Anolis sagrei: one gene and its partner. The protein of the gene in region 1 interacts with the protein of each later gene in a pairwise test. Links are inferred from orthologs where the notes say so. Each region holds a gene or a part of one and is shown on either strand. Other genes may lie near its edges.

What was found.
Region 2: the proteins of CERT1 (region 1) and CSNK1G2 interact in binary tests that used the Homo sapiens proteins (3 or more experiments, as listed by UniProt). The two-hybrid records come from large-scale screens. The link is inferred for Anolis sagrei from reciprocal best matches to the Homo sapiens genes CERT1 and CSNK1G2.

What each region holds. Positions count from the first base shown.
Region 1 is NC_090022.1:263,954,010-263,961,137, reverse strand, and holds the start of CERT1 (ceramide transfer protein), read left to right. Parts: upstream 1-4,120; 5' UTR 4,121-4,522; coding exon 4,523-4,618; intron 4,619-7,128. UniProt on the Homo sapiens protein: Shelters ceramides and diacylglycerol lipids inside its START domain and mediates the intracellular trafficking of ceramides and diacylglycerol lipids in a non-vesicular manner.
Region 2 is NC_090034.1:52,782,417-52,790,426, reverse strand, and holds the start of CSNK1G2 (casein kinase I), read left to right. Parts: upstream 1-4,905; 5' UTR 4,906-5,078; intron 5,079-8,010. UniProt on the Homo sapiens protein: Serine/threonine-protein kinase. Casein kinases are operationally defined by their preferential utilization of acidic proteins such as caseins as substrates. It can phosphorylate a large number of proteins. Participates in Wnt signaling.

The DNA of each region.
Region 1 (7,128 bases):
TATTATTTTTGGTATAGAAGTGGATTTGTTTTTGGGACTGGGGGGTTTGTTACTTTTGTCTTTGTTCAGCCTCTCGCAACATTCAATGTTTGCCAATATCCTTTGTAAACCTCCGAGTCCTCGAGGAGATAGAGTGGGATATAAACACAGCTTTATTATTATTACATATACATCTTGGAGATGGGACTCAAATCCAGACACAAAGTTCACTTAGAGGTCTTTATATATAGCCTGAATTTCATACACAATAGATTCGATCATGTTCTGCACGAAACAAGGTTTGCATATCATGAACCACCAGAAAGCCTATTGGATTTCATAGATTATAACAAGTTACTATCCAAAAAGAAAAGAACACTCAGGGTACATCTACACCAGGCCTGGGCCAACTTGGGCCCTCCAGGTGTTTTGGACTTCCAACTCCCACCATTCCTAACTGCCTCAGGCTCCTTTTCTTTGCCCCCTCAGCCGCTTTACTGCAATATTACTAGTAATATTATGTGCAATATATAATATACAATTACTACATTATTATATATTACATTGTACAATATTATTACATACTATACTGTACTAAATTATTATAGTATTATATTTATTTACGACATTTATATCTTGCTCTTCTCACCCCGAAGGGGACTCAGAGCAGCTTACAATGTATTATATTATTAGCATAGCACAATATTAGTATTATGTATTACTATATTGTACTATGCTTTATATTACATGTAATATAAAGTATAAAATATTATATTGTATTATTATTATATTGTATAACATTATAATATTATCAATATTATATGTGTATACAATATATTATTAGCACAGCACAATATTAGTATTATATATTACTATATTGTACTATACTACTATACTGTAATATTATTAGGAATATTACATGTATTATAAAGTATATAATTATATTGTATTGTATTATATTGTATTACATTACATTATTACCTTTCCATACATATCTCTCCTTATGAACTATTTAGGACTCTAAGATCTTCTGGGGAGGCCTTGCTCTAGGTCCTGCCTCCTTCACTGATGTGTTTGGCTGGAACGAGAGGCTGGCCTTCTCAGTGGTGCCCCCTTGGCGGTGGAATGCCCTTCCCACGGATATATGATTGGCTCCTTCCTTCTGACATTCCATAAAAAGGTTAAAACCTGGCTTTTCGAGCAAGTTTTTGCTAACATAACATAATCAGGTAAAGATGAAATTATGGGACTTGACAATGCAATCTGGATAACGATTTTAGTAAGGAGATGCTGTTGACTATGTTTCTATGGCTTTGTATGGTTTTATATTATATGCTATAAGTTTTTAATTGTATTTATATTTGTTTTTAATTTTACTTTTATAATTGTGGAGGTATTGAATTGTTGCCGACTGTGAACTGGCCTGAGTCGCCTCCGGGCTGAGAAAGGCGGTATATAAATATGGTAAATAAATAAATATGTGTATATAATATATTAACAATATTACAGTATACCATGTAGCAACAGTCAGGACTGACCACGGAACAACAGACTGGTTCAAGATTGGGAATGGCGTACGGCAAGGCTGCATCCTCTCACCCAACCTTTTTAACTTGTATGCAGAACACATCATGCGATGTGCGGGGCTGGATGAATGCAAAGCTGGGGTGAAAATTGCTGGAAGAAACATTAACAACCTCAGATATGCAGATGACACCACTCTGATGGCCGAAAGCGAGGAGGAGCTGAGGAGCCTTCTAATCAAGGTGAAAGAAGAAAGCGCAAAAGCCGGGTTGCAGCTAAACGTCAAAAAAACCAAGATTATGGCAACAAGAATGATTGACAACTGGAAAATAGAGGGAGAAACCGTGGAGGCCGTGACAGACTTTGTATTTCTAGGTGCAAAGATTACTGCAGATGCAGACTGTAGCCAGGAAATCAGAAGACGCTTACTTCTTGGGAGGAGAGCAATGTCCAGTCTCGATAAAATAGTGAAGAGTAGAGACATCAGACTGGCAACAAAGATCCGCCTAGTCAAAGCCATGGTATTCCCTGTAGTCACCTACGGATGTGAGAGCTGGACCTTAGGGAAGGCTGAGCGAAGGAAGATCGATGCTTTTGAGCTGTGGTGTTGGAGGAAAGTGCTGAGAGTGCCTTGGACTGCGAGAAGATCCAACCAGTCCATCCTCCAGGAAATAAAGCCCGACTGCTCACTGGAGGGAAAGATACTAGAGACAAAGTTGAAGTACTTTGGCCACATCATGAGGAGACAGGAAAGCCTAGAGAAGACAATTATGCTGGGGAAAGTGGAAGGCAAAAGGAAGAGGGGCCGACCAAGGGCAAGATGGATGGATGGCATCCTTGAAGAGACTGGACTGACCTTGAGGGAGCTGGGGGTGGTAACGGCCGACAGGGAGCTCTGGCGTAGGCTGGTCCATGAGGTCATGAAGAGTCGGAGACGACTGAACGAATGAACAACACACAGTATACCACTATATGTAATAATATTAATATTACATATAATATAAAACATTATTATTTTGTATTATTATTATATTGTATTACATTATATTATCAATATTATATGTGTATACAATATTTTATTAGCACAGCACAACTGTACTATATTGTTACCTGCTGTAATGCAACCTGAGCCCTGCTACATGCACAATGGAGGACCTTCTTATAGTAACACCAGAGACACTCCAAGTGGCCAGTTACTGGTATTTTATTTATTTATCGTGTCAGTATCAACCAGATAATTGTGTTGCTGCAAGAAGGTCCTCCATTGTGCATGTGGCGTGGCCCAAGTTGCGTTGCAGCAGGTGGTCTGTGGTTTGCTCTTCTCCACACTCGCATGTCGTGGATTCCACTTTGTTGCCCCATTTCTTAAGGTTGGCTCTGCATCTCGTGGTGCCAGAACGCAGTCTGTTCAGCGCCTTCCAAGTCGCCTAGTTTTCTATGCGCTCAGCAGGCCCGTAGCCAGGATTTGGATTCGGGGGGGGGGGGCTGAGTTTGTTTCGGGGGGGGGCTGAATTCGAGTGAAAGAGAGTCTACCCTAGCAAAACTTTTGTATCGTTACCCCAATACCCCCATGCATATGGGATATATTGAGTATGGTGATCAGATCATGATATGAATAAACGTAACAGTTTAAATAATGCACCGGTAAGGCCTTTTCACGAACCACCAAGAGAATTTCGGGGGGGGGGGGGGCTGAAGCCCCCCAAGCCCCCTCGCCCCCCGCTACATGCTTGCCGCTCCGGGGGGAGTCTCTCATTTGATATCAGCCATTGATTGAGGTTCTGGGGTTTGAGCCTGCCACTTTTGGACTCTCGCTTGCTGAGGTGTTCCAGCGAGTGTCTCTGTAGATCTTAGAAAACGATTTCTTGATTTAAGTTGTTGACGTGCTGGCTGATACCCAAACAACAGATGAGCTGGAGATGTCTCTGCCTTGGTCCTTTCACTATTGGCTGCTACTTCCCGGCGTATGTCAGGTGGTGCAATACCAGCTAAACAGTGTAATTTCTCCAGGGGTGTAGGGCACAGACTGGTCAAAAGACATTTAATCAACTACCAAGCTTGCAAACTTTGTGTTTTGTCTGTTTGTTAAAAAATGCAATACAACTGGTTTTGGGGGGGGGGGGGGGGTTGCTCCTGACACGATAAATAAATATTATATAGCTTAAGCGGCTGAGGGAGGAAAAGGAAGGGATCTGAGGCTGTTAGGAATGGTGAGAGTTGGAAGTCCAAAACACCTGGAAGGAAGGCCCAGGCCTGGTGTAGCTGCACCCTCAGTACCACCAAAGAGGAGCAAGATACGGGCCTAACAGTGAGGAGAAACCGAGGAGCCACTCCTTCCTGAGAAAAAGGAGGCAGAAGAAGGGCCCCGAAGCTCCCTCAACGTCCACACACCTCAAGTCTCCTTAGAGGGCTCCAACACCATCACCACCACCACTTCCTCCTCCACGATTCAAAATGGCGGCCGGGCGAAAGAAGTAACCCAACAGGCAAGTGAAAGGAAACGCGCCTCGAGCTACGTCACAAGCCGAGTGACAGTTGGGCCGTCTGCGCCCGCGCCGCTTGGCCCCGCCCCCTCACCACCCACACACAAATCCTCCCAGAAGCCACCGCGCATTGAACAGCGACGAGAGGAGGGAGTGAGGAAAAGAAACCAACCAGGGACTACATTTCCCAGCAATCCCTCCGAGTGGGAGGGGGAGGGAGCGAGCGCGGAAAGGGCTTGGCGGAGAGTGGTCTAGCCTGCCGATAGCGCGAGCTCGGCGAGTAAGATGGCGACGGAGGGAGCAGTTCTTCTCTGAGGAGGAAGAAGAGGAAGGAAAGGAAAGGAAGGAAGGAGAATGGTTGGCTCCACAATCTCTCGCTGAGGGGGAAAGCTGCACTTGCCGGCAGTGGCCGAAAGGGGGCCGCGGAAGGAAGGGGCCTCGAAGAAGGAGAAGGAGAAGAAGGTGTCAGTCGGTCAGGTAGCGCCGCCTCTGCTTCGCTCGCTCTCGGCTCTTTGGCGGCGGCCAACGACGTCTCCATGTCGGACAACCAAAGCTGGAATTCCTCAGGCTCCGAGGAGGATCCCGAGACCGAGTCTGGGCCGCCTGTTGAACTCTGCGGAGTCCTCAGTAAGGTAAGAAGGAGGAGGAGGAGGAGAAGCGCCTGTTTTCCTTCCGCAACAGACTGAATGAGAGGTTTGTGGTGTGTCCCTCCGTCGAGGCGCCTCACCTGAGGAGAGGAAATGGAGGAAGGTCCTGCTGCGAAAGAGGGCGCGTCTACGCTGCAGATTTAATCCAGTTTGACACCACTTGAACTGCCATGTGATGGAATCAAGGGAGTTGTAGTATTATACGGCCTCTATCCCCTCCATACTGCGGATTAAGTCCACGCTGCAGATTTAATCCGGTTTGACACCATATGATGGAATCAAGGGAGTTGTAGTTTTAAAAGGCCTTTATCCCCCCCCCCCTCCGTACTGCAGATTAAGTCTAGCTTTAATCCAGTTCAACACCACTTGAACTGTCATGTAATGGAATCAAGGGAGTTGTAGTTTTATAAGGCCTTTATCCCCCCCCCCTGCAGATTAAGTCTAGATTTAATTCAGTTTGACACCACTTGAAATGCCATATGATGTAATCAAGGGAGTTGTAGTTTTACAAAGCCTTAACCCCCCCCCCCCCCCAATTGCAGATTAAGTCTAGATTTAATTCAGTTTGACACCACTTGAAATGCCAAATGATGTAATCAAGGGAGTTGTAGTTTTACAAAGCCTTAACCCCCCCCCCCCAATTGCAGATTAAGTCTAGATTTAATTCAGTTTGACACCACTTGAAATGCCAAATGATGGAATCAAGGGAGTTGTAGTTTGACAAGGCCTCTATCTCCCCCCTTGTACTGCAGATTAAGTCCAGATTTAATTCAGTTTGACACCACTTGAACTGCCATATGATAGAATCAAGGGAGTTGTAGTTTTACAAGATCTTTATTCCCCTCTCTTACTACATTAAGTCCAGATTTAATCCAGTTTGACACCACTTGAATTGCCATATGATGGGATCAAGGGAGTTGTAGTTTTACACGTCGTTAACCCCCCTTTTTTGTAAGAGACTGCTAGTGCCTCAACAAACTACAACTCCCACAATTTATTTATTTAGTTTTACAAGATTTTTATCCCCCCCCCCTTGTACTACAGATTAAGTCTAGATTTAATTCAGTTTGACACCACTTGAAATGCCACATGATGGAATCAAGGGAGTTGTAGTTTTACACGTCATTAACTACCCCCTTTTTTGTATGATAGTGCTAGTGCCTCAACAAACTACAACCCCCACAATTTATTTATTTATATCCCGTTTTATCTCTCCATACAGAGACTCAAAAACATTGCAACTAAAAATATACAATAATAAAACAATATATCATTATATATTATCAGTAGTAATTTATTTATTTATTATTTATTTATTTGGGGTTCTTTTACCCCGCCCTTCTCACCCCGAAGGGGACTCAGGACGGCTTACAAAAGCAAAGGCACAATTTGATGCCTGCATCATAAAGACAATCAAACACAGAATTACATCAATACACAGTTAACAACAAATATACATTATAACCATAAAATCAATAAAACCAAATACAAACCCAATTGCTCCTCTTACATGGTCAGCGTTCGCTACTCATAGATCTATTTTTACGTTCCACTTCATCAATCCTGCTGGTCTTACTCGCCTGGTTGTCTGATTTAGTTGCCGGAGTGGCCAAAGGCCTGGTCCCATAACCAAGTCTTCACCCTTCTCCTAAAGGCGAGGAGGGATGATGATACTTATATTTAGTATATTAGTATTACTATATTTCAATGTTATTATAATATACTATATTGTATTATGATTAGTATTGTATTGTGTTACATTATAATATTATCAATATTGTATGTTTATACAATATATTATGGAGCCCCCAGTGACACAGGTTAAATGGCTGAGCTGCCAAACTTGCTGACCGAAAGGCTGGCGGTTTGAATCCGTGAAGCAGAATGAACTCCTGCTGTTAGGCCCAGATTCTGCCAACCTAGCAAATATGAGTAGATCAATAGGTACCGCTTCAGTAGGAAGGTAATGGCACTCCATGCAGTCATGCCAGCCACATGACCTTGGATAGGTCTGCATACAGTGCCAGCTCTTCAGCTTAGAAATAGAAATGAACACCACCTCCAGAGTCCTACACAACTAGACTTAATGTCAAGGTGAAACCTTTACCTTTTACAATATGAGTTCACAAAGAGTCGGAAGTGACTGAACTAATAAACAAGAAATATTATTAGCATAGCACAATATTAGTATTATACATTACTATATTGTACTATACCACTGAACTGCAATATTATTAGTAATGTTACATGTAATATATAATATACAATTATTATATTATTTTATATTGTACTATAATATTTTTATAAAGTTTTTGCACATAGTATGGATTCCATGTTGGTTCAAGTGTTGACAAACAGGATTGATTCTACAGTGTAGATGAGGTATAGGCAAACTTCGCCCCTTCAGGTGTTTTGGACTTCAGCTTCCACAATTTCTAACAACTGAGGCACTCTGAAAAACAGCCCCAGGACAAGGAGGAATCATAGAGAAGCCC
Region 2 (8,010 bases), on another chromosome or scaffold:
TCCTCCACAAATGGACAAACACTGACAGTCTTTATCCAAACCACTTTCAACTATTATGTCTATTAATATAGAAAGGGCTTGAGACAACTGGAAGTTATTGAAATCTACCCCTTGGAAGGGAAGTTCACTTCTGAAAGAGATTATCATCGGGAAAAGGTGTCTCCACTGAAGCTTTCTCACCAATGCTTGTTTCCACAACAAGCCAAATCGAACTATCACAGAAAGGGAGGGGAAATCTTCTAAAGAGGGACACAGACAGCAAAGCAAACACAATATGGGTGTTCACCCTTCCCTATGCTATTCAAAGCTAAAACAATAAATACCTTGGCTGGAGTTCCACTTAAAAGCATCCCTTATCCGAGTTACATACAAATTCAACTTAAGAACAAACCTACAGAACCTATCTTGTTCACGACTTGGAGACTGCCTGTATCACTATTATGGGGACTTTATTGTGAGTTTGTTTGCCTTTAAAGCATCTACCATACTTCCTCACATAATGGGGTTCCAGAGATCTCAGTTTTGGGGTTTTTTAATTGCCTTCAGGCCTCGGAGAGATGAGAGAAGAGTGAAGCTCCAGAGACCTCCATTTTATAGTTTTAAACTATTTGCTTTTGGGAAAGAAAGGGGAAGTTATCCTGAAATTAACCTCCTCCTCCCCTTTTGGAAGTAAAGCATTTTGTTTAAACAACAACAGAAAATGGCAAATAAAGGCAATTTTTCCCTTCATTTAATAGTTGCACCCCTTTTTGTTGGTAAGAAGGTGTGACTATTATGTGATGAAATATATGTAAAGCTTCCTCTTCATCCTGGAAACAAGTGACAAGTGGAGTGCCGCAGGGTTCCGTCCTCAGCCTGGTCCTGTTCAGCATCTTGATTAATGACTTAGATGAAGGGTTAGTAGGCATGATCATCAAGTTTGCAAATGACACCAAATTGGGAGAGCCAATACTCCAGAAGACAGGAGCAGTATACAGAACAATCTTGACAGATTAGAGAGATGAATGGCCAAAACTAACAAAATGAAGTTCAACAGGGACAAATGCAAGATACTCCACTTAGGCAGAAAAAAATTAAAGTCAAAGATCCAGAATGGGAGACGCTCAGCTCGACAGCAGTATGTGTGAAAAAGAGTCCTCTTGGACAGGAAGGGAAACATGAGCCAGCAATGTCATACGGCAGCTTAAAAAGCCAATGGGATTTTGGCTTGCATCAATAGGAATCTAGAGAAGTCATGTTACCCCTCTCTTCTGTCTTAGTCAGTTCACTTTACCTGGAATCACACTGTGTCCAATTCTGGGCACCACAATTGAAGGGAGATGCTGACTCTAAGCTGGAATGTGTCCAGAGGAAAGCCAACCAAATGATTAAGGGTCTGGAGAACAAGCCCTATGAGGAGAGGCTAATGTATGGTATGTTTAGCCTGCAGAAGAGAAGGCTGAGAGGAGACATGATGGTAGCCATGTATAAATATGTGAGGAGAAGTCATAGGGAGGGGGGAGCAGGCTTGTTTTCTGCTGCCCTGCAGACTAGGACACAATAGAACAATGGTTTCAAACTACAGGAAAGGCCTGAACATTAGGAAGAACTTCCACCTGAACATTAGGAAGAACTTCCTCATTGTGAGAGCTGTTCAGCAGTGGAACTCTGCCCCGGAGTGTGGTGGAGGCTCCTTCTTTGGAGGCTTTTAAACAGAGGCTGGATGGTCATCTGTCAGGGGTGCTTTGAATGTGATTTTCCTGCTTGGCAGCAAGGGGTTGGACTGGATGGCCCATGAGGTCTCTTCCAACTCTATGGTTCTACGATTCTATGAAGATCCGAGTTCCAGGGACAGCAATTTCAGGATTTTTTGAACTGCCTTCAGGCCTCAGAGGGAGGACAGAAGAGTGGAGCTCCAGAAACCTCCATTTTTAAACTGTTTGCCTTCGGGAAAGGAAGGGGAATTTTTCCTGAAATGGCTCCGCAGTTTAAACAAACAAACAAACAGAAACCAAAATGCTTGTTTGAGACTGGACCTCCTCCTCTTCTCCTCCCCTTTTGGAAGTAAAGCACTTTATTTAAACAACAGGAAACGGAGACTAAAGGCAGTTTTTTCTTCATATAATAGTCGCACCCCTTTTTGTTGTTTTTGGGCTCGGCCTCATGTAAGCCGCACCGAGTCCCTTGGGAGATGGTAGCGGGGTACAAATAAAGTTTTTATTATTATTATTATTATCATTTTGACAAGGTGTGACTATTATGTGTTGAGATACGTTATAGTCAAAGCTATTTTTATAGATCTGCTTCATAATACCAATAACCGATAAAGCATTGAAACATTTGGCACATCTGTAAATAGCATATATTTATTCACATGCCCTTTTTTCTCTTTCAAAAGTGACCTACAATGCAATGTACACACACATACATAGATATAAAAGGTAAAGGTAGTCCCCTGACATTAAGTCCAGTCATGTCTGACTCTGGGGTGTGGTGCTCATCTCCATTTCTAAGCCGGAGAGCCAGCGTTGTCCGTAGACACCTCCAAGGTCATGTGGCCGGCATGACCTCATGGAGTGCCGTTACCTTCCCGCTGGAGCGGTACCTATTGATCTACTCACATTTGCATGTTTTCAAACTGCTAGGTTGGCAGAAGCTAGGGCTGACAGAGGAAGTTCACGCCGCTCCCCGGAATCGAACCTGCGACCTTTCGATCAACAAGCTCAGCAGCTCAGTGCTTTAACCCACTGCGCCACCGGGGGCCCCTACATAGATATAGTGATAGAAAAATATATATTGGAGAAATTTATATACATATATATATATACACAAACATATATATTTGTATATGTGTGTGTATATATATACACACACCCATATATCCAATATATATTTATCTATCACTATGTTTGTGTGTGTATGCACATATTCAAATATCATATATAAGCAGGGAGAGATATTCCTTCCCAAAGCTTCCTTCTAGGTTTGAAAACCATCTGGACGAGAAAGAGTTAAAGGGCAAGCTGTAAAGCGCGGTTTCTGTCGCAAAGCGGATAGCTCCTCCCCTCGCCGCCTCTAAGCCCCTCCCGCCTCTACGCCCCTCCCACTCAGGCCGCCTCTACGCCCCTCCCACTCAGGCCAGCCGGATTCTCAAAGCGCGCTCTAACCAAAGAGAGCCGGTTTCGGCGCACAACCACTACTTCCGGATCCCATTAGGAGCCTCCATTGGCGTGGCAGGCGTCTCCCAAAAGAAACCAATGCAAAGCTTCCCAATCAACGTATACAGTCTTATTTCAAAAAGCCCACTATATGGTTCAGATATGTGGATGACACTTTCACCATTTGGAGCCATGGAGAAGAAGAACTCAACAGGTTCCTGGACCATCTTAACAGCATCCACCCAAACATCCAGTTCACTATGGATAAAGAAAAGGAAGGAAGACTGCCTTTTCTAGATGTCCTAGTCATCCACAAACCAGATCAACAATTGGGTCACACCGTCTACAGAAAACCCACACACACAGATAGATATCTACATAAAAACTCCAACCATCACCCAAGTCAAAAAAGAAGCACCATTAAAGCCTTGGCAGACCGTGCAAAAAGAATCTGCAAACCCCACCTCCTCCAAGATGAACTGAACCACCTCAACTGGGCTGTACAGGCCAATGGAGACTCCACCTCAGACATCAGAAGAGCTGCAAGACTGAGAACAAGCCATGAGAATAAAGACGAAGATCCACCCAAGGGAAAAGTGTTTTTGCCATACATCAAGGGAACCACTGACCGCATAGGGAAGCTGATGAGGAAACACAACATACAAACAATCTACAGACCCACCAAGAAAATCCAACAAATGCTACGTTCAACAAAGGACAAGAGGGATCCTCTCACTTCTGCAGGAGTCTACCGTATACCATGCAGCTGTGGACAAGTCTACATAGGGACCACCAAACGCAGCATTGCCCAAACACGAATCAAGGAACATGAAAGGCACTGCAGACTACTCCAACCAGAGAAGTCAGCCATAGCAGAGCACCTGATGAACCAACCTGGACACAGCATATTATCTGAGAACACAGAAATGCTGGACCACACCAACAACCACCATGTCAGACTACACAGAGAAGCCATTGAAATCCACAAGCAGGTGGACAATTTCAACAGAAAGGAAGAAACCATGAAAATGAACAAAATCTGGCTACCAGTATTAAAAAACTCTAAAATTGCAACAGCAAAAACAGCAGAGAGAAAAACAGGCAGGGACATCTAATCACCTTTCAAGAGGAGTTTGCTCCAGGCACAGTCAGCCCATTGTATGCTAATCAGGGTGGTCAGTTGAAAGATTCACACCCAGCCCAACTTACAAAAGCCCTTTGTCTCACCCTGGTCATTCCACAGATATATAAACCCCTTTTTTCCCAGCTCCAGCAGACCTCACCTCTGAGGATGCTTGCCGTAGATGCAGGCGAAACGTCAGGAGAAATGCCTCTAGAACATGGCCATATAGCCCGGAAAAACCCACAAGAACTGAGTGATTCCAGCCATGAAAGCCTTCGACAGTACAGTCTTATTTCTTATTTATACTCCGTCTTTCTTCCTCAGCGTCGAGTCCAACATTTTAAAAGAACCATTTAGTGGGTAACTATGCAGTGAGGAGACTGTATTTTTTCTCTTTTTTCTCCACTCAAATGGATGATGCCTATGCATTCTCAAAGGGAACCGGACGTTTATTAAAGTTCCCATTTCGCCCTCTCCTCTTTGTTCTCTCCGCTTTTTCCGGCCTCTTTGGGCCTGTCCTTTTCCGCGCATGCGCCCTGCGTCCAGAGAGGGGCCTCTCACGCAGTCAGCGCGGAGGCGGGTATTCTGGAAGCAGGTTGCGCCGGCGGCGTGACGTCACGGCTATAGGGCGACTCCGAGGCTACGCCGCTGACGTAGCGGCGTCGCTCTCGCTCTCAGGGAGGAGAAGGCAGAAAGAGGTTTAAAGAGACAACAGCCAATGGAGGGGCTTTGGGGCAACAGGGCGAGCCCCCACCCATGCTGAGGAGCCCGGGCCCCGAGGAAGGAAGGCAGGCCGGCCTCGAAGGGCCCCGTGAGAGGTAAAGCCCTCCATTGCGCGACTAATGCGCGACTAATTGAGGGAAGGCGTCGTTTTCCTGAGGGGAACACAGGGCCTCCGTTGGCCTTGCACCTTTTGGAGGGGCTTGCGCCACAGGCACACGCCTCACTTATTTAACTTCATAATAGTTTTATATATATATATATATATATATATATAATATCTAATATATATATATATATATATATATGATTTGATTTAATAGTGTATATATATATGTATGTCTTTATTTAATAATATATCAATCTCATGTATGTAATTTAATAATAATAATAATAAATATAAATATTACATTGTCTAATTTATTTAAGAATAAAAATAATCATATATCCATATTATATATCTCCCTAATTTAATTTAATCATTACTATTCCATATCCATGTTATATATCTCCAATATAATGTAATAATAATAATAGTAAAATGTAAATATTATATCTCTCTAATAATAAGGATAATATCTCCGTCTCTCGTTTATGTAATTTAATAATAATAGTAAAATATAGATGTCTCTCTAATTTATATAAGAAGAAAAATATGTTTATATCTCATTTATTTTATTTAATAATAATAGTAAAATATACATTTTCTATCTAATTATATATATATATATAAAATTTAATAATAATGTATCATTTTATGTCTCTTAATTTATTTAATAATATATCAATCTCACATTTATGTAATTTAATATTTAATAATATATCATATTATCTCTCTTAATAATAAAAATAGTAAAATGTATATATATATACTAGCCATCCCCTGCCACGCGTTGCCGACATGAGGGTTCTGTGTGGGAGGTTTGGTCCAATTCTATCGTTGGTGGGGTTCAGAATGCTCTGTGATTGTAGGTGAACTATAAATCTCAGCAACTACAACTCCCAAATGTTAAGATTATATTTTCCCCAAACTCCACCAGTGTTCACATTTGGGCATATTGAGTATTCGTGTAGAGTTTGGTCCAGATCCATCATTGTTTGAGTCCAAAGTGATCTCTGGATGTAGGTGAACAACACCTCCAAAACCCAAGAACACTGCCCACCAAACCCTTGCAGTATTTTCTGTTGGTCATGGGAGAACTGTGTGCCAAGTTTGGTTCAATTCCATCGTTGGTGGGGTTCAGAATGCTTTTCGATTGTAGGTGAACTATAAATCCTAGCAACTGCAACTCCCAAATGACAAAATCATTTATTTTTTTTTAGTGAAGGACGTACATTGGGTTGTTAGGTGTCTTGTGTCCAAATTTGGTGTCAATTCGTCCAGTGGTTTTTGAGTTCTGTTAATCCCACAAACGAACATTACATTTTTATTTATATAGATATCTAATGTAATAATAATATATCCATATTATGTATCTCTAATTTATTATATATATATATATATATATATATATATATACACCTATCGTATCTATCTGTTTATTTACTGTATTTATATACTGCTTTTCTCACCCCTGAGGGGACTCAAGCGGTTTCCAACATAATCATTGCAAAATTCAATGCCAAACATACATCTGAAAAACCAAAACATAAAATCAAACAGTAACATACTATGAATTAAAACCACATTGAACCATGAAACATAAGCAGCATTTAAACATTAAGACACAGAATTAAAACATCTTAATATAAACATTAAAAAATCACATAATCTGAAATCGTGGTCCACAGCCATTCCAATTGTTAATTGCACATATCTAATAATATATATGTGTGTGTGTCTCCATATTATCTCTCAAATTTAATAATAATAATAAGATATCTAATATATTTAATTTAATAATAGTAAAATATAGATACTGATCTGTCAAATTTATTTAAGAATAATAATACATCCATATTATATATTTCTCTAATACAATAATATACCGTAATTATACATATGTATATATTTAATAATAATAATATATACATGTCTCATTTATTTAATTTAATAACAAAATATATATCTGTTTAATTATATATATATATATATATATATATATGATAATGATATATACATATATCTCTAATGTATATATATATATATAATTATTAATATCTCCCTATACTTAATTTAATAATAACATATACATATTATATGTAATTTAATAATATTAATATATGCGTATCTCTCTAATTTATTTAATGTAACAATAATAATATATCCCTATTAGACACCTCTCTAATGTTTTTAATTTATTTAAAAGAGAAATGGCAAACACTGTGGCAATAATAATAATAATGTTTCACTTTAAAGATACATATATCAATAATAATGATGAAGTTTCACTTTTGTGATTAGCTTTTAAGAATACCAATTATTAAGTTTCAGTTTTGTTTTTATAGATAAATAAATAGGAATTAAGAAGAGCAAAAGAGAGAAAAGGGGAATAAACAAATAATATGTATTATTATTATTATTATTATTATTGGAAAGAAAAATGATTTATTGCTTTTTTCTCCCCATTTTTTCTACTTCTTATAGTAAGAAAATGGCTTTATTGCTTTTTTTCCAAATTACTTTCAAAAGGGAATGTATCGGTGTATACAAACACACACACACACATATATATATAATTTTATAGATAGATCAGATAGATAGATCAGATAGAGGAAAGAAGAGGAGTAGAAGAGAGGAAAAGGGAATAAAGAAATAAAATTTGTTGTTAATATTATTGGAAAGAAAATGTATTTATTGCTTTTTTTCACCCCATTTTTTAAATTAAAAGTTCTTAAACTGGTCTAAAAAGAAATAGAAACATACATAAAGGGGAAAAAGTAGGAAGAAACATGGCTTGATTGCTCCTCCCTTTCGTTCATTGCCCAAAGAGAAGAATCAATATAAGTGCAAAAATGTGCAAAAAGAACGGAAAAAGAAGAGAAAGTGAAAAAAATTGCTTTCTTGAGTTTCCAAAGTGTGCTTAAAGT